3 linked regions of the Notamacropus eugenii genome follow. The protein of the gene in region 1 purifies or fractionates together with the protein of each later gene. This does not show direct contact. Links are inferred from orthologs where the notes say so. Each region holds a gene or a part of one and is shown on either strand. Other genes may lie near its edges. The genes, in order: USP18, MAP3K7 and STAT2.

Region 1 (7,025 bases):
GAGAGTCTACCAAGACAAACCTATGAACACAATTACAAAACACTTTTCACAAAAATGAATCAGATCTAAACAATTGGAAAAAATATTCATTGCTCATGGGTAGGTTAAGCTATATACATGTAACTACATATAGTTATAAGAAGATAACAATTCTACCTAAATTAATTCAATACCATATTAAATTAACAAAAATTATTTTATAGGACTAGAAAAAAATAACAATTCATCTGGAGGAACAAAGGGCTAAGAATATCAAGAGAATTAATGGAAAAAAACATGGAGGAAGTTGGCTTAGCCATACTGTATCTCAAACTGTAATATAAAGTGGTAATCATCAAAACAATCTGCTACTGGCTAAGAAATAGAGTGGTAGATCAGTAGAATAGATGAGGGACACAATACATAGTAGTAAATGACTGTGGTAATCTAGTGTTTGATAAACCCCAAAATCCAAAAAAGAGCCCAGTATTTGACAAAAACTTCTGGGAAAACTGTAAAGCAATTTGGCAGAAAGTAGGTATAGACCAACATCTCATACTGTATACCAAAATAAGGTCAAAACAGGCACATGATTTAGACATAAAGGGTAATACCTTAGGCAAATTAAGGGAGCATAGAATAGTGTACCTGTCATATTTATGGATAAAGAAAGAATTTATGGCCAAACCAGAGATAGAAAGCATAATGGGATATTGATAATTTTGATTATATTAAATTAAAAACATTTTGCACAAACAAAAGCAATGTAACCAAGATTAGAAGGAAAACAGAAAACGAGGTGGGAAGAATTTTACCCCAAGTTTCTCTGACAAAGCCCCCATTTATCAAATAAATAGAGAACAGTCAAAGAATACAAAAAAATACAAGTTATTCTCCAATTGATAAATGGTCAAAGAACATGAACAGGCAGCTTTCAGATGAAGAAATCAAAGCCATCTGTAGTCACAAAAAAAAATGCTCTAATTCATGATTGATTAGTTAAATGAAAATTAAAACATCTCTGACATATGACATCACATCAATCCAAGTGGCAAATATGAAAGAAAAAAATAAATGTTGGAGAAAATTGGGACACTGTTGATAGAATTGTGAACTGATTCAACCATTCTGGAGAGCAATTTAGATCTATGCTCAAAAGGTTATAAAAGTGTGTGTATCCTTTGACTTAGCAATACCACTACTGAGCCTGTATCCCAAAGAGACAAAAAAAAGAGAAGGAAAAGGACCTACATGTACAAAAATATTTATAATATTTTTTCTTGTATTGGCAAAGAAGTAAAAACTGAGGGGATGCCAGCAACTGGGAAATGTAGAATACAATTATGCTATAAGGAATGATGAGCAGGATGCTTTCAGAAAAACCTGGAAAGAGTTACATGAACTGATGCAAAGTGAAGTGAGCAGAAACAGAAGAACACTGTATACAGTAACAAAAATATTGTATGATGATCAACTGTGAACAACAGCTATTCTCAGTAATTCTAAAGATGCAAGACAGTACCAAAAGACTCATGACATAAATACCAGTTCCAGAGAAACAATTGGTGGAATCTGAGGACTGATCAAAGTATACATTTTAAACTTTCTTTTTCTTTTTTTGGAGGGGAAGGGAGTTGTATTGCCCAGGCAATATTCACAGCACCGAGGATGACTATGAATATGCCAGTGTAGTTCAGAATCACAGACTCGCCATTTAGAAGGCAGAAGAAAAACATTTATTCAGACTCCAGAAAGTCAAATCCCCAAACCAGAAAGCCAATTCCATCATAGAAGCCAAGAAGTCAATACAAATAATCTTCCCATTTCAATTGCCATTACAGGGGTGTCTGTGTTTTCTTTCACAACATGACTAATATGGAAATATGTTTTGCATGGCTGCACATATTTAACCCGTATCAAATTGCTTGCTTTGCATGGGAACAGGAAGGAGGGTGAGAGAAATTTTGGAACTCAAAATTTAAAAACAAATGTTAAAAATTATTTTTACATGTATTTTTACATGTAAAAAACCAAGAGATTTAAAAAAGAAAAATCGCAAATAAGGTGTGCTAGACATGCTATCTAGAATCAAACAAGGTAGCATCAAATATGCATCAATACAGAACAGAACAAGGATGTTTAACTCCATGTCTCAGTCAATCCCCTTATAATGCAAATTATATTCAGCAAACATAAAGTAATAATACATACAATAGATAGGCCACTTCACAGCTGCTTTAGTCACTATAGGCCTAGTTGACATGTAGAATATATTACAAATCATTAGCATATCTATAAACAAAAGCATAATAGAACAAAAACCTATTCAAACATGAAATGATTAGCACACGTATCAATAAACACGCAATTAAATTCAAGACATGCAATGCGTGGGTAAATATTAGTGTTTATCCTCTATCTGGCCATGTGGATTACCTTTGTCTCAGTTTCCTTTGGAACATCTTAAATTATTCTGTTCCCTGACCATAATCCTCATCAGAACTAATGTATTGTCTACTTAAACCTGAAATTCTGAAGGGCTTAGGCTGACTGATAGTGTTATTATGTTCTAAGGAGTGGTTCTGTATCCCAGGAGAATTTACTGTGGAATAATTAGTCAGAATAGGTATTACCATTCTATTTACTCTCCTCTGATCACATATAGGTAAATACAAAAATAAGTGTATTTAAAAAGTTGTCTATAGCGTATTTTGGGCTTTAATTTGCTGATAATATGATGTGTCTATGCCCATCTTTTGAATTTCCCCTTGTGTCTTTTCTACCATTTTTTTGTATATTTCTCTTTAAAATCAATGTTGTTAAAACTATAGTCATATGAAAAAATGCTCTGAATCACTACTGATTAGAGAAATGCAAGTTAAAACAATTCTGAGTTACCACCTCATACTCATTGAATTGACTAAAATGACAAAAAAGGAAAATGTTAAATGTTTGAGGGGATGTGGGAAAACTGGGACAACAACACAATGTTGGTGGAGTTGTGGAAAATCACTCTGGAGAGCAATTTGGGCTATAAAACTGTAAGCATAAAAGATGTATAAAATGTGTAAAATATACCCTTTGACCAAAGGGCTATAAAACTGTAAACATAAAACATGCATAAAATGTGTAAAATATGTCCTTTGACCCAGTAATATCACTGCTAGGTCTGTATTTTAAAGAGATCATAAAAAAAGAGAAAAGGACCCACATGTATAAAAATAGTTATAGCAGCTCTTTTTGTGGTGTCAAAGAATTGGAAATTGAAGGGATGTTCATCAATTGGGGAATTGTTGAACAAGTTGTGGTATATGAATGTAATGGAATACTGTAAGAAATAAGAAATGGTGAGTAGGTAGATTTCAGAAAAACCTGGAAAGACTTACATGAACTGATGCTGAAAGCAGGGAGCAGAACCAGGAGAACATTGTGCACAGTAACAGTAACGTTGTGCGATGAACAACTTTGATCAACTTAGTTCTTCTCAACAATGCAATGATCTAAGTCTTAGATTCTAAGACAATTCTAAAAGACTCATGATGGAAAATGCTATCCACACCCAGAAAAAGAACTATGGAATCTGAATGCAGATAGAAGCATACTATTTTCTTTCTTTCTTCTCTTACAGTTTTTCCCTTTTGCTCTGATTCTTCTTTCACAATATGACTAATGTGGAAATATGTTTAACATGACATTATATCAGACTGCATGCTGTCTTGAAGAGGAGGTAGGGGACAGGGAAAATTTAGAACTCAAAATCTTATAAAAGTGAATGTTGAAAATTGAAAATAAATAAAAAGGAAAGGAGGGGGAGAAGCCTGGAAAGATTTGTATGAACTGATGCAAAGTGAAGTGAGAGGAACCAGGAGAACATTGTACATAGTAACAACAATATTGTACCCTGATCAACTGTGAATGACAGCTAGTCTAGCAATACAATGATTCCAGACAATCTCAAAGGACTCCTGATGAAAAATGCTATCTGCCTCCAAAGAACTGATGTTTTCTGAACACACAGACTGAAGCATGCTATTTTTCATTTTCTTTTTTTTTGTTTTATTTTGTTCTGTTCAAGTCTTCCAGTACAAAATGACTAATATGGAAATATTTAACATGATTGCCCATGTATAACCTATTGTCAAATTGCTTACTGTATCAGGGAAGAGGAAAGAGAGGGAGAGATGAAGTGATAGAATTTGGATTTCAGGACTTTAAAAAAATGTTAAAAAACTATTTTGACATGTAATTGGGGAAAAATAAAATATTAAAAAAAGAAGGATGGTAGGGATGAGATGTATCTCATCCTGTTCCCACATGGTTTTAATTTCTTCTTCTAGGTCTCTATATTTTTAAAACTTTTCATTCCATGTAGTTGGGAGATTATTGGCATCTATTAAAATGTTCTTAAATTTTTGTGGTTCAAAAAATAATCAATGTTGCTGACAGGTCATCTAACCCAACAGAGTCTGATTGGTATAAAATAATGTTAGAAATGGAAGAGACCTCAGATGAAGATAAGTCCAAGCTCCTTTACAAATGAGATCTCAGAGTCTCAGACAAGCGAAGTGACCTCTCAGGTTACACATTTAATCATTTAGAACCCACCTCTTCTAACTCCCTGCCCAGATAGTGTTCTTTCCATGTCAACTATGCCTCCCTTTTTCTCCTTTTTCAGATGGCATGTAGTTGGTTGTATTATCAGTTTTTGAGAACATTCTATCTCTTTTGAGTCCTGGACCAACTCCTATTTTATTATTCTTATTAATGGGAATCTATAATATTTTTTCTTTTAAAAATATTAGACTAGTAGACATATATTCTTTCTTTTTCACCTGGGGAACTATCTTGCCTAACAAACAATAAAACAGTGGAAAAGTAGTTCATTTAAAAGAGCCAACACAACTGTGTCCCATGTTACGTGCAACACTGCACACTCAACGTCTGTAAAGGAAGTTAGAATGCAAATTTTCTCAATTCCTCTCTGAGTTAAACTTGGTCATTATAATTACACTCTGCTCAGTTTGGCTTTATTGTTTCATTTAAATTGTGTATACTGTTTTCCATCCTAGCATATCAGTTCATTGATGTCTTCCCATGCTTCTGAGTTTCTTTTGTTTTTCTGAGTTTTTTCCTTTTTAAAGGTGGAATAATATTCCATTACATTCTGGTACCCCCACTTGTTTAGTTATTACCCAATCCACCGGCTTCTAACCTGTTTTGTGTGTGTATGTGTGACCACAGAGAGGGTTACTATAAGTATTCTAGAATAAATGGACCATCATTTATTTTCTCGGAACTTAAATGTATATGTTATAGGCCCACATACACACCTGTGTAAAAATATTTATGTACACAATATACATCAGACTGTGAAATCCAAGTCCTGACCTAAGTAAAGAGTGCATCTCACATCTCTTCTATCCCAATCCCATCCTGTCAGCTCCAGTGTACCTGGATCTGCTCTAGGCTTCGAGGTAGAGGTGTGGTACGTTCCTCAGTGACTGGTGCAGGCAAACAGCTATTTACCTCTCTTCCTTCTCCGCAAGAAGAAAGTTTCCTTTCCCGCTGGACTTGGAAACCTGAGAAACAGCGCCGCTGCGGCTTGTTGAGTTTCACTTTCCATTCTGTGGGAAATCAAAACTCAACTCAGCTCACAGTTGCCCTCTGTGGAAAAGCTGCAGAATGTATGCAAGGAAGGCACAGACAAAAGCAGGTCGCTTTCCGGATAGATGCTCACAGAACCTCCTCCGCTGCTTGAGAAGTAGACCCTGTCTCGCGGATGTGCCTTGTTCGCGTTTTACTGTCTGCAGTAAGTGGACTCCCCTCATTCTTCCCTGTACTTGGTTTGTCTCTTGCAGTGGTCCAGGGCTAAGTTGAAGAATTCTTTCCCAAAAGTCTACGGAGTAAATTTGACATATCCGAAGCCACTGCAGGGTTTTTCAGCGCCTGAAACCATTTGGATGGGTAAAAGTTTATTTGTTAAGGTGATTTACAAAGAATTAATTTTTGTATGCATTATCTTGATATTTTAGATCTAAGAATTTTTTAAAAAAATATTTCTGCCTGGGGAATAATGAAATTAAAAATCCTTACACAAAAATAGTGACTCAGTTCTGAGGATACTAAAAATATGGGCTATTTAGGAAATTGACTAAATAAATAAAGACTATTTTCCCCCCTCAAAATTAAATAGACTAAATTTTTTGAGGTCTTGTACTGTCATTTACCTCTTTCTGAATCCCCAGCACTTAGCAAGTACCTGGTACATAGTAGACGCTTAATACATGTATATGGATTAACTGATGGAAAGGGGGATGTTTAGCCGATTAAATAAATGTATTTGCATTCTGCTATGTATGACAAAGCTTAAAAATTATATTTGCCTTTTCTTATAAAATAGATATAAAAAAACTCTAGCACTGGTTTCAGGAATATCTGACTTCAACTTCTGCCTCTGCCGCAGAGAATTGAGGCAGATCTGTTTAGGCAACCGCTTAATTTGCCAGATAGTTCTGCGACCCCTGGCTTTTATTAACTGCATTTTCTGGATAAGTTGGGTAACTTTTTACAACTTTAACAAATTGGTTGGAGTCTTTTAAGAAACCAAAAAAAAAAAAAAAAAAAAAAAGCTTTGCCTCATATTTTTTTAAACAGTATCTGAGCTGAATTTTCTTTTTTCCTTAGGAAAGGAATTAGATATTTCCACTTACTAATTTCCTCAAAATAACTGGATCGTGACATATGCAAACACATTTACTATTTAACTTGCTTATAATAATAACAAACAGGAAAATAATGTTTATGAAAATATGAAAATTAACTGCAAAATAAATCCAGTAGTGCCAGCAATTTTATCTTCTTTAATCAGGTTGCTATTAAGTCATTTGGCTATAGGAAGTAATTCAATAAATGACCAGAAACAATATGATTGTAATGGTGTTAAAATGGACTCTAGGATTTATTAAGAGTATTATGCTGAAATGCTCAGATCCTGATTAACTGATCATATAATAGTCATCCATAAACAGTTTTTGACTTCTGGCATC
Region 2 (7,868 bases), on another chromosome or scaffold:
ACACAACACGACTATTATGGAAGTCATTTTCAAAACTACACAGATATGGCCTATATTGAATTGCTTGCCTTCCCAAAGAGAATGGGTGGGGAGGGAGGGATGAAGAGAAGTTGGAACTCAAAGTTATAGGAACAGCTGTCGAGTACTGTTCTTGCTACTAGGAAATAAGAAATACAGGTAATGGGGTACAGAAAGTTATCTGGCCCTACAGGACAAAAGAGAAGATGGGGACAAGGGAAGGGAGGGATGATAGAAGAGAGGGCAAATTGGTGATAGGGGCAATCAGAATGCTTGGTGTTTGGGGGTGGAGGGAGGGGACAAATGGGGAGAAAATTTGGAACTCAAAATTTTGTGAAAATGAATGCTAAAAGTTAAATAAATAAATTTTAAAAAATAAAAAATAAAAATAAAACAGGTGACAACACTAAATTCAATCCCATCCTGACATTGTACAAGCTACAAATGCTTGCTTAGCAGCTGAGAGGCAATCTTTAAAAGCATATTTGAAAAGTGAATAAAAATCCATATAAAACAAATATTCAAATAGTTTCCATAGGAGCACAGATAAGTATGATCCCATCTGTTAGTCTTCCATATTGTTGCATTCGTGCCTACCTCATTCTTAAAAAACATTTAAAAACTCAAGCAGGAATTAAGTTAATGATTACCCCCAAATGCTCTAATTCAAGCTAAACTTGCAATTAATGGCTACAAAGAACATCTATACAATAACACTATCTGAAGTGGAGGTTATTGAGTGATGTTCCATTCTACCTTCCCAAGCACAAGACACTATCAAAGTGTTGATGTCCTGGTCCTCTACTTCTGTTAGAAACCTTGGTTCTTGGAGAACAGAATGAAGCAGACTGTTTTCTCTTGTGTTATGTTTTGTTTTGATTTTTCTCATGGTTTCTCCCATTCGTTTTGTGTGTTTGTCCTTCATCACTGAAGAAGACCATGCCATCAGAGAAATAATGACATGACTTGCACTTGACTTTGTTTTGAGTGAGAGAGGGCTGTGTACGTCACCAGCCTCACTTTTCCTCCAGAGCCATCTGAATCCAGTGACCAGATATTCATCAGGATGACTGGAGACCCAGGATGAGGTAGTTGGGGTAAGTGACTTGCCCAAGGTCACACAGCTAGTGAGTGTCAAGTATCTGAGGTAAGATTTGAACTCAGGTCCTCCTGACTCCTGCACTGGTGCTCTATCCACTGCACCACCTAGCTGCCCTCCCATTCATTTTAATTCTTCTATGGAACATCACCAATGTGAAAATGTATTTAATAGGAATGTATGTGTATTGCATGCCGTCTTGGGGAGGGAGAGGGGAGGAAATCTAAGATGTGGTGATTGTAGAAAACTGAAAACAAATAAATTTTTTTAAAAAAGAAAAAAAGAAACCTTGGTTCTTCCTTCATTGTATGTATTGCCATGCTGTCCCAGATATCAGATAACAGATAGTGCATCACTGGAATCCATTTAAGCAGCATCGACAGTATAGGAGCCCATGTTTTCAAACAGCATCTAGTCTCCTACATGCATTTCTGGTAAATTGCCACATTCAGCAATTCGATCAAGGCCATCACATGTTGGTCCCCATATGCTAGAAGAGTAATACTTCTCATCTAGTTTGGGTCTCTTCTGTAGAATAGGTTTAACATCAAACAGGATGCAATTAAATGGTCCATAGAATCCATCACTGGCATAGTACGTAAAGGTTTGATCATTTGCCTCATCTTCATCATCAGAACCTGTTTCTTTAATACAAGTTTTTTTGGCAATGCGGTTAACTCCAAGAATGAAAGCTAATGCAACACAGTATCTGCCTGGTTCAACTATGATTCTCACTCAAGAGTCAGAAAGAAAATACTTGTCCAATGCTGGACTGGTTATATTTGAGATCTCTTCACACTTAAGCTTTACATCCTCAGAACCAGGAAAACCACCACCAATAACAAGAAGAAACATGTTGAAACCAAATTCTACCCCCATGTCTAAGATCATCAGTGATCAGAAACTGGTTGGACAAAGGTTTCTGGATCAGTACAACCACTTCCCGTGTGAAAACTAACTACAATAACATCAATATTCAGTTCCTTTGCCCAAGTATAGTGACCCTATATTTTCTAAGGACTAAACAAGTATAACACAAGCCCCTAGCTGATCCTATCAAAATGGGAAGGCTTTGAATAAGAATTGAGTAAGGTCTGTGTTTGTCCAAGGACTGCCTTAGCTAAATGTGTTATGAAAGCACCTAGTATACCAATGTTATACAGTATGATCAAATGTATCAGATTAAACATCGTAATATACCAAGTATTCAAATTTTTGTGATTTTAGATCTTAGCAGGAACCCAAGACAGTATCTAGTCCAACTCTTTAAACTTCCTTTTACATAGGATGAACCTGAAACAGAAGTTAAGTGACTTGTCCAAGGTTACATGAGAAATGTCACAGTTTACATTTAAACCCAAATCATCTGACACAAAATCCAAAACTCTTTCCAGTACCCAAAGCTATTTCCAGTTCTAACGCAGATATTTGCAGGCTGTGTGACCCTGGGCAAGTTATTTAAGCCTCTCTGTGCCCCAGTTTTCTTAATTGTGAAATTTAAGGAAATAACTACTTGTTGTACCTGCCTCATATATAGGACAGTAAGGCAAGGGTTTGATTATGCCTGGGGAAGTAGGTCAGATCTCAATTGCTTTCCCAGCAAATATGCAAAGGAATTAAGATCCTCTAATTTGTACGGCGCAGAGAACAATCTGTGACTTCTTTACTGATGTCCCAAAGGCATCTTGAACTCCACATATCCAAACCAGAATTCATTATCTTTACCCCCATACTTCACCCAGTATGCCAGATTCATAACCTTAGTGTCATCCTTTACTCCACACTCACTCACCTATTTAATGTTACCAAATCTTGGTTTTTGCCATACATCTCTCCTGTGTATCTCCTGCTCTTCATTCACATATAGCCACCACCCTAGTCTAAGCTGTCATCACCTGCCTGTATTATTATTATAACCTCCTTATTAGTCTCCCTCTACCTGTCTTATTTCTTACCACCCAAATTCATACTCCACTCATTTGCCAAAATGATCTTCCTAAAGTAAAAGTCTGTCATGTCACTCCCCCTCAATAAATTCTAGGGGCTTTCTATTAGCTCCAAGATTAAATATAAAGTCCTTTTTGGGAGTGGGAGGGGGAGCGGTGTTGGGGGGGGGCAGCTAAAGCTTTTCACAACCTGGTTCCTTTCCTACTCTTCCAATCTGTCTAACCTCCTCCACATTTTAAATCCTACTATACCAGCCTACTGGCTGTTCTTCATATCTGCGCTTTATATCTGAAGGCCCTCCACACCTTTGCCTCTTAGAATGTCCAGCTTCTTTCAAGTATCAATTTAATTGCCCCTTCCGATCATTCCTGGCGGTCTTGGCTGCCAGATCTTTCTCTTCTTTTACCCTCCAATTTAATGCTGATTTGTGTTGTGTGTACCTTTTGATTGACATGTCTCCTTATTAGAAAGTAAGCTCTAGGGCAGGGAATTTTTGTTTACTTTGTATCCCCAGCTCTTAGCACAATGCCTGACACCTAGTAAGCCTAGTAATAAACGAGATTTATATATAGCTTCCTAAGTGCCGAGTGCTTTCCAATTATTCTCATTTGATCCTCAATACAACCCTGCGAGGTAGGTGCTATTATTATCTCCATCTTACACATGAGAAAACTGGGGCAAACAGGTTAAATCTATGGTCTACAGTTGAGTTTGAGGTTAGATCTGAACTCTGGTTTTCTTCTCTACAGGGCAGCTAGGTAGTGCAGTGGGACAGAGCACCAGGACTGCAGTCAGGACCTGAGTTCAAATATGCATCCTCAGACGCTTACCAACTGTGTGACCCTGGGCAAGTCACCTAAACCTTCTTTGCCACGGCTTCCCCATCTGTAAAATGAGCAGAAGAAAATGGCAAGCCACTCCAGTACCCCTGCCAAGAAAACCCCAAATGGGGTCGGAAATGACTGAACACCTGGGTTCTCTCGGGACAGAATCACTCAGTATGGTTAAGACTTGGGGAGTATTCTAGCTGGCAGTGACGGAGCCTGAAGCCCCCCGGCACTACTCCCATTATTGACTCCCTGGGCACAGAAGCCCTGGCATAGGCTCACTGCCACCGGGCAGATGGTCAATAAATATTGCCAGCCGGTTTAACTTCTGTCACAGGTCATTAAACGGAGGAAACGCATTCCGGGCTCCCAGGAGCCGCAGCTCCAGTTACGGTGGAAGGTCAGGGCGGGACACGAAGTTTACGGGGAGGAGTCCCGCAGTTCCACGCAGCGCGGAGGGAAGATCCCTCTCTCCCCGACCTCGGCTTCCTTCCCTCGCCGCTGCCCCCTACCCACACAGGGTGCTCAAGGGGCGGGGCTCAGAATTTTCTTCCCAAACTAGGGAGAGAAATAGAGCGGTGGTCACTTCCACTCGGGATAGTCGGGTTCCCGAACCAAGGCAGGCTTTCCCGCTTCACCCGAGTAAACGCGTCCCGATCGCTTCTCCGCAGAGGTGCCAGTCAAGAGCAAAGCAGACGTTCGCGCTTTAGGTTCTGATTGGCACCCAGATCTCGCGGGATCTCCCTCCTAGAGAGGAGGGTCTGCACCCACCCCCGCTACGGCGCTCTCGGGAGGTGCAGGCTAGAAGGCCCGGCTCCCTCCGCTCCTTAGTCTTCTTTTATTGCTCCCAGGATACAGCGCGCCGGGACCGCAGGGCAAAGTCCTGCAGACCCGCGGCTGTCCCTTCTTCCGGTTTCCGAGCGGAACCGGAAGATTAGGAGGCGGGTCCTCCCCTCCCCGACCGGAAAGGGCAGTCGAGCCCGAGCCGGGACACGGCCTCGGCCGCTATCCCCACCACGGCTCCCCGGGCCCCCGGGTCCCCGGACTGTCGGTGTCCGGGCTGAAGGTCGGTCCGGACGACGGAGGACGCAGCCCTCCGGACTGTCGGGGCGGCCTCTCCCCGGCTGCCGAGAGGGATCATGTCTACTGCCTCAGCTGCCTCCTCCTCCTCCTCCTCTTCGGCGGGTGACATGATCGAGACCCCCTCGCAGGTCCTCCACTTCGAAGAGATCGACTACAAGGAGATCGAGGTGGAAGAGGTGGGTGCCGAGCCTTTGTCCCTTCCTGCCCGCCCTAGACGAGCCTTCGTGGGCCTGAGGCTGGAGCTGCCGCAGAGGGGCCGGGGAGGTGCGGGGTGGGAGAGCCTGCCCTTTTCCGTTCGCTGCAGAAGTTTGGCCACAGTACTTCATTGCTTTACGTCGAGATGCCGGGAATAGCAGGCTCCGTAACAGGCTTTCCAGAACAAGACTTAGTTTCCCTCTTTGTCAACAATACTCTCGAGGAACGTGGTGGGACAGTTCCCCATTCCGCTGCTCCCCCAGCCCCAATTCTAATACAGATCCAGTTAAAGCTTAGTGCTGTATCCACAAAGCAGTGGTGACCAGTTAGGTCCTATGCTTTCGAGCTGAAAGGGACCTTGAGATTATCTAGTCCTACCTTTTCACTTTACAGACGCAGAAACTGAGGCCCAGAGGAAGGTTCGGTGACTTTTCCAGAGTCATACTGGTAGTGAAGTAGCGGTGCTGGCCGGAGTTTGCACCAGACTCTCCTTTGACTCCAAATTTGAGAGGATAGGCTGGAAGTCAGCTGTTAGTTAGGATGCTAGGTTTTCGAGATGGAAGGGTGAGCTTTAAAGCTCATTTCATTTAATTATTTTATGAATTACTAAATTCATAAATTTTAGTATTTTTAATATTTTATGAATTACTTATTTCATGAATTACTGAAAAAGGGAAAGCCTGAGCAAAGAGGGTTGCGCTATGAACTGAGGAGACAAATGATAGGGGATAATGCAGAGGTAGAGTCAACGCGGTTCGGGTTGTTGGTTTCCTTCGAAAAGAAAGAATAAAAAATGAATGAGGTTACTAGCAGAATGGTGATGCTTTTGATAGAAAACTTCGAGTTAGGGGAAAAGAGATTGGGAGTTGGGGTTTTTAACTACATTTTGTTAGAAAGTAAACTTTTAAATTAGCTCTCTACATTTATAATGCTTACATATTATTTGACTGCAAAGTGATTTCATCTTTCTGAGCCTCTTTCCTGCTCTGCACACTAAGAGTGGTCAAACTACCAAAATTCTAAAGTCCCTCTAATTAGGTTCTTTGATCTTATAAAAATTGTGTTGACAACACTTCATAAAGGAATCAGTTGTGTAGAGTGAGGTTTAGTTCTCTTAAATCAAACTGATTCTTGAATGTGAATATGTAAAGGAAACATAAAATGGGATTGCTAAAATTAAAGATTAAGATGGTTTTCATACATGGTTCACATTAATGATCAGGTATATTATGCAGTCTATAGAGTGCCATAAACATCACAAAGTTATGCAGAGATGCCGCATAATCCAAATTTGATCTAGAATTTTAAAAAAAGTTGATTGTAAGTTATTGTTAGAAAACCTGAATCCTTCCTTAATCACAGTTCTACTTCACTTTTTCCTTCTGGAGTGTAATAAAGTTAATTCATTAGTTTTTGTCTATCTAGGTGATAGAAGTGTGATTGAGATTATAACATATGTTAAATAAATGCTATTTAGAAGTAAGATCAGGTACACATTTTGCCTACCTATCTGCATTGGTTAAAAATTTTTTTCCTTGCCAGGAGTTCCTCAAAGTACTGAAATTGTTGGTTCAGACCAAAACGACAAATTGTGTATAAAAAAATATTAAAAGACAAATTTCTGAAAAGTTTTAAGGAAATTGACATTAGCAGTTAACTAAACAGTTTGAATATTTTACACATTTATTGGGTACTCTTTTAAGAGTACTCACTCTAAAGTTAGAGGTCCTACCCAGGCTTCAAGTCCTTTTTCTACCTCTCTAGTTTTAAGCCAAGTCGATTAACCTCCTTGAACCTCAGTTTCTTCATCTAGAGAATAAGTGTGTTGAACCAGATGGCCTTTAAAGTCCACTTACAGCTCTAAATATATGATCATATGATCTCCTGTATTAGAGGCATTTTAAAGAACCACATCTTAAGCTGACATGTTTCCAGTCCTTAAAGTACATATTCAGCTTTTAAACTTTACAGTACTTATTCTATAATGGCAATTACTGATAGTATAACAAAGTATATTTTATTATATATGGAAGAATTTTTTTTCTCCATTTTATATGTGTGTGAATAACTTAGTGGAGATACTATACTATATGAGGTCATATAGACAAGAAAAGAATCTTATTTTGTGAATAAAACATAAGAAAAATATTTTATAATTCATATTGATTATGAAAACCCAGAGAACCCTTAAGAAGAAATAGTATGGTTCCATTGTTATTTGAAAGGAATTTCTTTTTTGAAATAAAAGTCAGTCTTTTTTTATGTCATTGAGAGATAAATTTTGAGATCAAAATTTGTGTCATATATAAAAATTGTATTTTTTCCTTTAAAAATTTATGCCAGTGAACTTCTGTGTCTATGGATCAAGGTTTGTGTAAAAATTATAGTATGTAAGTTAGCAGAGCTGGGATTTGCACCCAGATCTTATGATTCTAAATCTTTTATTCTGTCCTTACCACAGAATTTGTGATTAGGCCTCCATAGAAAAGGGAGAAATTCATAGACTAATTCACAAGAGTTATTCAATTCCTACTTTGTGTGCAAAAGACTATATTAGAATTATAAGACATAGCTTCTCTTGATTAAGAGGTCTGGTTCAGGAAATAAAACACATAAGTGGGAAAAGTTGTTGGAGCTATGCAGAACAAAGCCTCACAAAATCTTGGGAGTTGGAAGAGACAAGAGATCATCTACTCCAA
Region 3 (7,101 bases), about 24 Mb from region 1:
TTGTGGCTTGGCTTCTATAGAACAAGAAGAAAAGAAACCAATGAGACCTTCGTTCTTGGATTACAAGGTGTTGGCAAGACTTAAGATCCTACTGTCTCTGTAGCTCTTGGGCAAATTTCAGTTGAGCTGGGGATTCATCATTGCTCACTTGTCCCTCCAGAGAGACTATACCCATGAACCTGAGGGGTGATCTATCAAATTTCACAACAAGCATGTGAGTTTGTCCTGGTTCTGTTCCCATAGACCCCAAGTCCCATTTCCAGGCTTTTGTCCTCCATGCTATTCAGAGTTTTCATCTGAGGCTTGAAGTGTCATGCAGTATCAGCTAAAACTTCCTGAATTAAAGGCTATCATAATGTGCCGAGTTGATCAAAAAGTCCTGGCCAAACATTTCCTAATACCCTCTACCCCAAGACTTGCAGCTTCTCGGTGAAGAGCACAGTCTGCTTGTTTTCTTGGATAAAATTCAGGCTATATAGAATAACTAGTCCTTTGGGGGTGAGGGGACAGAAACTCTAAATAGTTTGCAAATGCTTCACATGAAGACTAGTAACCCAATCTTCCTAAAGTTTTGATGAGCAATTAAAGCTTACATTAAACAGGAATAGAAAGACATGTTATTTCTCTCTTTATGTCCAGTAAAACCTAGTTTAGTGGTTGTAATAGGTGCTTAATAAGTGTAGATTTTTTTAATTGACTAACTAGAATTAAAGGGTCCAAGAGGCTGTAGAGAGGGGAAAGAAACACCCCAGTTTCACTGAAACTTAAGATAGATACAAGCTGTTGATTAAAGGACCCATACCTGACCAGTTCTATCTTGGTCTCTCTCCCTTTAGCTTCCAGACCCTCTTTGCACACATATACTTAATGCATACATATACTTAGATGTCTATAATCATACTCATATAGACATACACATTCACATGCATTATGTAAGACCGTGCTATATTTATTTGACCTCTTTCTCTGAGGGTGGATAAACTCTTCCTTCACAAGTCCAAGTCTTTCCATTTCTCATTTGTGGGGGAAATCTGGAGAGTTTGGAACTTTCTGACCTACTCAGTCATCTTCCCAGAATCATCGCCCCTTGACCACACTTTCTTTGTCTCTTCCGAATTTCAACCACCTAGACCCTCTGCTCTATTCCCTCATTAAGCAAATATTGAGCATGTACTTTGTATTTACCCTTTACTAATATCCTCTAGTGCTTCATAATTTCATGGAGGAGACTCTAGGTCAGGGGTGGGGAACCTGATGTGTCAAGGCCACATGTGACCCTCTAGGTCCTCAAGTGCAGCCAAAACTTTGACTGAATCCAATTAAATAAGGACTTAGATCCTTAAAGGTTATGTGAATTCGATGCAAACTAACAGATCTACTGCATGAGAAAAATTGCAAATATGTCACCAGTAACTGTCTTGACTGAAGACAATTTCCCAGACTGAAGACTGGGAAAGTTTGGAGAATCTCAGACTACTCTTTTATCTTCCACAATGTCCATTCCCTAGACTTCTCTGAACCTGAGCAGGAACCTGGTGGCATGGGTGACAGGCAAATAGCAAGGAAAAGAAACTGCCCAGTTAATTGCCTTTTTCCTAATGAAGATGAAAGCATAATAATAGTAGCTTACCTTATATAGCACTTTGTACATATTCCTTTTGATTCGCAGTGGAAATAACAACAATAACCCCTATTATTATTGCAGCTGCCATGTGCCAGGCATGGTGCTAAGGACTTTACAAATATCCCATTTGAAAATGTTATCTCACTTATCTTCACAACTGAGAGGTAGGTCATATCATTACCTCTATTTTCCAGTTGAGGAAAACAGAGGTTAAATGTCTTGCCCAAAGTCACACAGTCTGAAGCTGGATTTGAACTGTGGTCTCCCCAAGTCCAGATTCAAGGCTGTACCCACTGCATCGTCTAGCTATTGTCCCTGCTACATTGATGAACAAACAGGTTCATGGAAGTTAAATGAATTAAGTGTCATAGAACTTAGTAAGGAATAAGACTTGGACTCAAACCCTCTAACTTTATATGGTTTTCTGTTCACTTTCCTACATCACAAGAAAACAAGGGATGATCTGTTGCAAGATGGACAAATATTTACAGTGATCACATCTCTTGCCAATCTTTGGGATCGAATAGGAGGAGGAGGGGCGAGTGGAGAAGTCCACAACTGGAAAGTTACAAGGCAGTGAGACCTACAAAGGAGAGGCTGTGTGGCTCTTAAACAGGTGGGTATACTTCTTGTTTTTGTTCGATGAGAAATGATTCTCTAGCTTTCCACAAAGACAAAGATGAAGAGACCAGAATTGGCAGGGGAGGATAAAGAGCACAAATTCTTGCATAATCAGTCCAAAAATTCCCACCTTGTCTGTTGGTACCAAGTTATTGAGGTGGAGGTTGTAATAGGGATAGAATTGTTCCCTGACTGGGATCTGAATCCTTTCAGACTTCAACCAGAATAGCTTTGTGTCTCCTTTATATTCCTCTCTAGCAAGGCTGTATCCACTACCCTCCAAAATGCCTGTGATGGTCCTTCTATGCAGCCTCCTGCTATACCCAGTAGCTGCCCTCCCAGATGGATCCCATCCCAAGGCCCTACCCCTCCCAACTTCGTCCCTGGAGTCCCAACCAACCACTCTCAGCCCCCTTTCCTGTTGGAACCTGATGCCTGAGTCTCTTCCCGATTTCAACCGCCTAGACCCTCTGCCTAAGTATCTGATTAGCCTGGCCTTCTACATAACCCTGGAGAGAGCAGGATGCCCAGCGGATGCCCACGACCTTCGGCAGCGACTCCATAGACTGGGCGGGGTGAAAGCCACAGAGACTCTCATCCAACAGCTCCAAGGCCTTCCAAGGACCAGAAGAGAAAGGAGATCGGACTGGGTCCTGTTCTCTGCTCTGCAGCTCCTGGGCCGGAGAAGTGAGAGGTCCAGAAGGGCGCCTCGTTCCCTCTCGACCGCGGACTGTGTCTATGAGAAGGAGCGAGGAGTGCACAATGTGATGCGGTACCTGCCCCAAGTGGGGACTTACTACAACCTTGGGACAGCTTTCTATTATGCTGCCCAGAACTGCACTGCTCAGGCCTGGGAGCGAGGACAGGAAGCGGCGCTGGACCTGGGCTACGATCTCCTTGTTGGACTCATGGGGGCAACAGGGGGGCCTGGGGGGGTGATGGCCGGTTTGGCACTTAAGCCGGCGGTCAAAGCTGGGGTTCAGAAACTGATCGAATATTATTACGGTAATAAGGAGGAGTCAGGAAGCCCAGCCCAGGGCACAGAGCAAAGGTGGCAGGACTGGAGAGCCAGCACAGAATTGGGCCCTGGGGTGTCTCCGGCTATGGGCAGCAGCGATCGCACGGCTGATGAGGTGACAGGGGACAGCTCCCTGTGGAACTGGGGGAGGGGGGCATGAAAGAAGGAGTCGGAGAGGGACGTCTGTATCAGTATGTGCGAGTGCTTAATAAAGGCTTGATTGTTCTCCGCATCTGTGTCTGCGCTTAATAAAAGATGGCTGGAATTTTAATTTGGAATTTAATCTCTAGGTCATGTAGGAAACTGAGGGAAGCCAGGTCAGTGGCACTCGAAGAAAACGGTGAGGCTTAGGTTTGAACTCGTGAGCCTAAATCCTCTTCACTTCTGCCAGGGTCTCTCTTTACCTGCTGCGCCGCCTCGGGGCCGGCTCTCGAGCTGCTCCCCAGGTTGACTGACAGCCTTTAGTTTCATCTCTAGCTTGAGCTCTTCTCTTTTCCCCTGTAGCTCCGCCTCAATTCCAGGAAACCATCAGCCTCCCGGGCTCAATCTTTGACTTTTCATTGGGCTATTCTTCCAGCGGGACTCCCTCCCGCCGCGGAAAGAAGGCGGAGTTTGGCTGGACCTTCAGTCCAATCACTGCGGGCGGAAGGCGGGGCTTTTCCTTCATGCCCCACCCTTTGACGAGGGGCGGGGCTTGTCGTTCTGAGGAAGCCTTCGAAGAGCCAGAAGAGGCTGGTGGAGAGCGCGGAGTGACGCGCTGGAGCTGCCGAAGGGAGGGGTGTCCAGACCCGGAATAGCTAGGCGGAGGGAGGAGCCTGAGAGTGAGGGGGTGGGGCTTCCAGTGTTTAGGGTCGAGCAGGCAGGCGAGTGCTGGGTCCCTGAGCCGCGAGACTGGGGGAGCGACACCAGCCAGGTAAGGAGGCCGCGAGCCCCCTTGGGAGGGCGAAGCATGGGCTCCGGGCAAGCGATCGTAGGTTCTGAGGAGAGGGTGGGCCTCCAGGAGACCTTGGAGTCTGACACCCGCCATTAGCCGCGGCCCCTGAACTTGGATGCACGGCCCGCCCCCCCTCCCCTCGACTCCCTACTGTGCAGCCCCCGGCCCCTGATCCCCATCCCCTGCCCCTTCATGTATCACCCTCCTCAGCCCTTCCTTTTCCTCTGTGATATTCCAGTCTTGGCTCTCTATTCTCTTTCTTCCCTAGAACTCATTAGATGGTGGCGGAGGGTGCTTTTAAAAAATACAGTATATAATTTGTGAAAATAACATTTTAAGGGGGGGAGTGGGAGGGGCGGGGGCGGGAGTTGTATCTCTTCTCCTCCCCTCCCCCCCACGCCGTATTTGAGGCTTTTAACACCAGATCATTTTTTCTCTTTACTGATGCATGAAGTCTCAGGGGAAGAGAGATTGGCAAACGTCAATCCCCAGCACCTTTCACTACCCCACAGTATTTCTGACAACAGGTAGCCCAGGAGGGGGGCGGGGCCAGGGGAGGGGGCGGGGCCAGGGGAGGGGCGGGGCCAGGGGCGGGGGGGCGGGGAGGAGAGGGAGGCTTTGACAAGTTTCACCAATTTGGGCACCTAGCCCGGGAATGTACTGTCAACTTTCTTCCAATATCTGAGTTGGATTCCTCTCTTTTCAGTTCTAGGATTTAACCTCTAAAATCAGGGTCATTTCGTATTTCCTGATCAGCTTGTGTCCCCTTTCCCACTAAAATTTTTAACTCCCTTACAACTTTTCATGACCCAAAAGGAAATTAGTCTGTAGAGTCCATTTACTATATGGGGGGGAAATATATACATTTATATATGTAAATCTAACATAAATATATAATACAAATAGATCTATATACATATATGTGCGCATATATGTATATGTGCATTTGGATAGGTATTTAGCTTCAAATATAGCTACACAGTTCATATCTATATACATGTATACATGTGTAATTTGTGTTCATTAATGTGCATAATGCACACATGCATATGCATGCAGTGTGTTTATGCATGTATGTGTATTTTGTGTGTTTACATATAAATACATATATTCGTGGGCAGCTGGGTAGAAAGATAGACTTAAAACTCATAAGATATGAGTATTTCTGGGCTCCCAGTCTTCAACCAGGTATTCCCACTGCCCCTTTCTGATCCTTTGGGTAAATCTGTTCCTGTGTTCTGCTTCCTCTTTGTGTTAACATCACATTAGTTTCCTTCCCCTACCAACTGAAACTCCTCTTATGACCAAAATTAAAAACACTTCAGCATAGCCAGTCAACGCAGAAACTGTACAGTATTCTAGCACCGTAGTACCCCACCTCTTCAATAAAGGGATAGGGCTCGATTTTCTCAGTTCTTTTCATAGGGCAAGCTTGGTCATTATAATTACATAGCATTCAGTTTTTTAAATTGTCCTTTTATTTTTTAATCATTACATATATTGTCTTCATGGTTCCGTGTGAGGCAAAGATTGTTTTCCCCAAGCATCTTATCCTAGCTGCATTGATTTCATTTATGCAAAAGCTTTTCAATTTCAAGTAATCAAAATCATCTGATTCCCCTTTTGTGATTGTCTCTTTAACTTGTTTAAAAATTTCTTCTCTAGTCATAGTTTTGTTTTGACAATTTTTAAAGTATTTTTTTCAAGTATGCATTTGTAATTCATTGTGGTATATAGATGCCAGGCAGCTATGTGGTACAGTGGATGAAGTGCTGGGCCTGAGGTGAGGAAGACCTGAATTCAAATATGAAGTCAAATACTAGCTGGGTGGCCCTAACCAAGTCACTTAAACTGTCTAATCCTCAATCTTAATCTGTGAAATAGGGATAATAATAGAACCTACCTTGCAGGTTTGTTGTGAGGTTAAAATTGTAATATTCTTTGCAATCTTAAAGCACTCTGTAAATACTAGCTACTAGGTTGTTGTTGACGATGATCTAAACCTAAATTTCTGACAAACCATTTACCAGTTTTCTCAGTGTTTTTGTCAGAGTTCTTTTCCAAGAATTTTGTTCTCAATTCAATAAACACCAAGTTACTGAGTTTGATAGTCTCTGATTCTTGCTTCACAAGTCTTTTCCACTGATTTACTTTGCTACATTTTAACCAACACCCAATAATTTTGTTAATTGCTATTTTTTAATACACTTTGAAGTCTGGAAGTGCCATCCTAACTTTAATCTCCTTTTTTTGTTATCTCCTTGAAATTCCAGACGTTTGCTCCTCCAAATGAACTTGGTTATTATTTTGCTAGCTCTTTAAAATATATTCTTGGTAGTTTGGTATAGGACAATAAATTTAGGTAGCAGTATTTTTTATGATATTGATCTACACCAACCATGGAAAAATAAGTAGCCCTCCAATGATTTTAGTTTTTCTTTAAAAAAAAATTGATATCTTTTACGCTTGCATAACTGTTATCTTTCTTACCCCTAACAAAAGGAGGCCATTGCTTGTGACAAAGAAAAATGAAAACGTGAGAAAAAAGTGTAGTTCCCCCAAACTAACCAATACAGCAAGCGGAATTTGACAGTATGTACAATGTTCCACATGCATAGTCCCCTCCCATCTCTGCAAAGGAGGGAGAAGCACTTTTTCATCTATAAAATGACAAAGTTGAGCCAGATTATGATACTGTATCTCCTTTAAAGTCAGACTTGGTCCTTATAATTGACCAGTGTTCAGTTCTGGTTTTCTCTTTCTTTTTGTTGACATTGCCTTCTTGTGCATCTACGATTTATTTAATGTTAATTTTTTCTTATTACACAGTAATTTTCCATTATACTAATTTACCACAATTTGCTTAACTAATCTGCAATTAAAGAGCATCTACTTTGTTTCCAA

What was found.
Region 2: the proteins of USP18 (region 1) and MAP3K7 purify together in Homo sapiens (affinity purification with western blotting; 4 studies listed by BioGRID, with this or other methods). This does not show direct contact. The link is inferred for Notamacropus eugenii from reciprocal best matches to the Homo sapiens genes USP18 and MAP3K7.
Region 3: the proteins of USP18 (region 1) and STAT2 purify together in Homo sapiens (affinity purification with western blotting; 6 studies listed by BioGRID and IntAct, with this or other methods). This does not show direct contact. The link is inferred for Notamacropus eugenii from reciprocal best matches to the Homo sapiens genes USP18 and STAT2.

The regions. Positions count from the first base shown.
Region 1 is NC_092874.1:207,782,830-207,789,854, forward strand, and holds the start of USP18 (ubl carboxyl-terminal hydrolase 18), read left to right. Parts: upstream 1-4,022; 5' UTR 4,023-5,788; intron 5,789-5,817; exon of another isoform or gene 5,818-5,963; intron 5,964-7,025. UniProt on the Homo sapiens protein: Interferon-induced ISG15-specific protease that plays a crucial role for maintaining a proper balance of ISG15-conjugated proteins in cells. Regulates protein ISGylation by efficiently cleaving ISG15 conjugates linked via isopeptide bonds.
Region 2 is NC_092873.1:164,561,827-164,569,694, reverse strand, and holds the start of MAP3K7 (mitogen-activated protein kinase kinase kinase 7), read left to right. Parts: upstream 1-4,850; 5' UTR 4,851-5,030; coding exon 5,031-5,150; intron 5,151-7,868. UniProt on the Homo sapiens protein: Serine/threonine kinase which acts as an essential component of the MAP kinase signal transduction pathway. Plays an important role in the cascades of cellular responses evoked by changes in the environment.
Region 3 is NC_092874.1:231,637,327-231,644,427, reverse strand, and holds the start of STAT2 (signal transducer and activator of transcription 2), read left to right. Parts: upstream 1-4,080; 5' UTR 4,081-4,176; intron 4,177-4,651; exon of another isoform or gene 4,652-4,724; intron 4,725-7,101. Other genes in the region: APOF (apolipoprotein F), read left to right, coding at 2,530-3,423. UniProt on the Homo sapiens protein: Signal transducer and activator of transcription that mediates signaling by type I interferons (IFN-alpha and IFN-beta).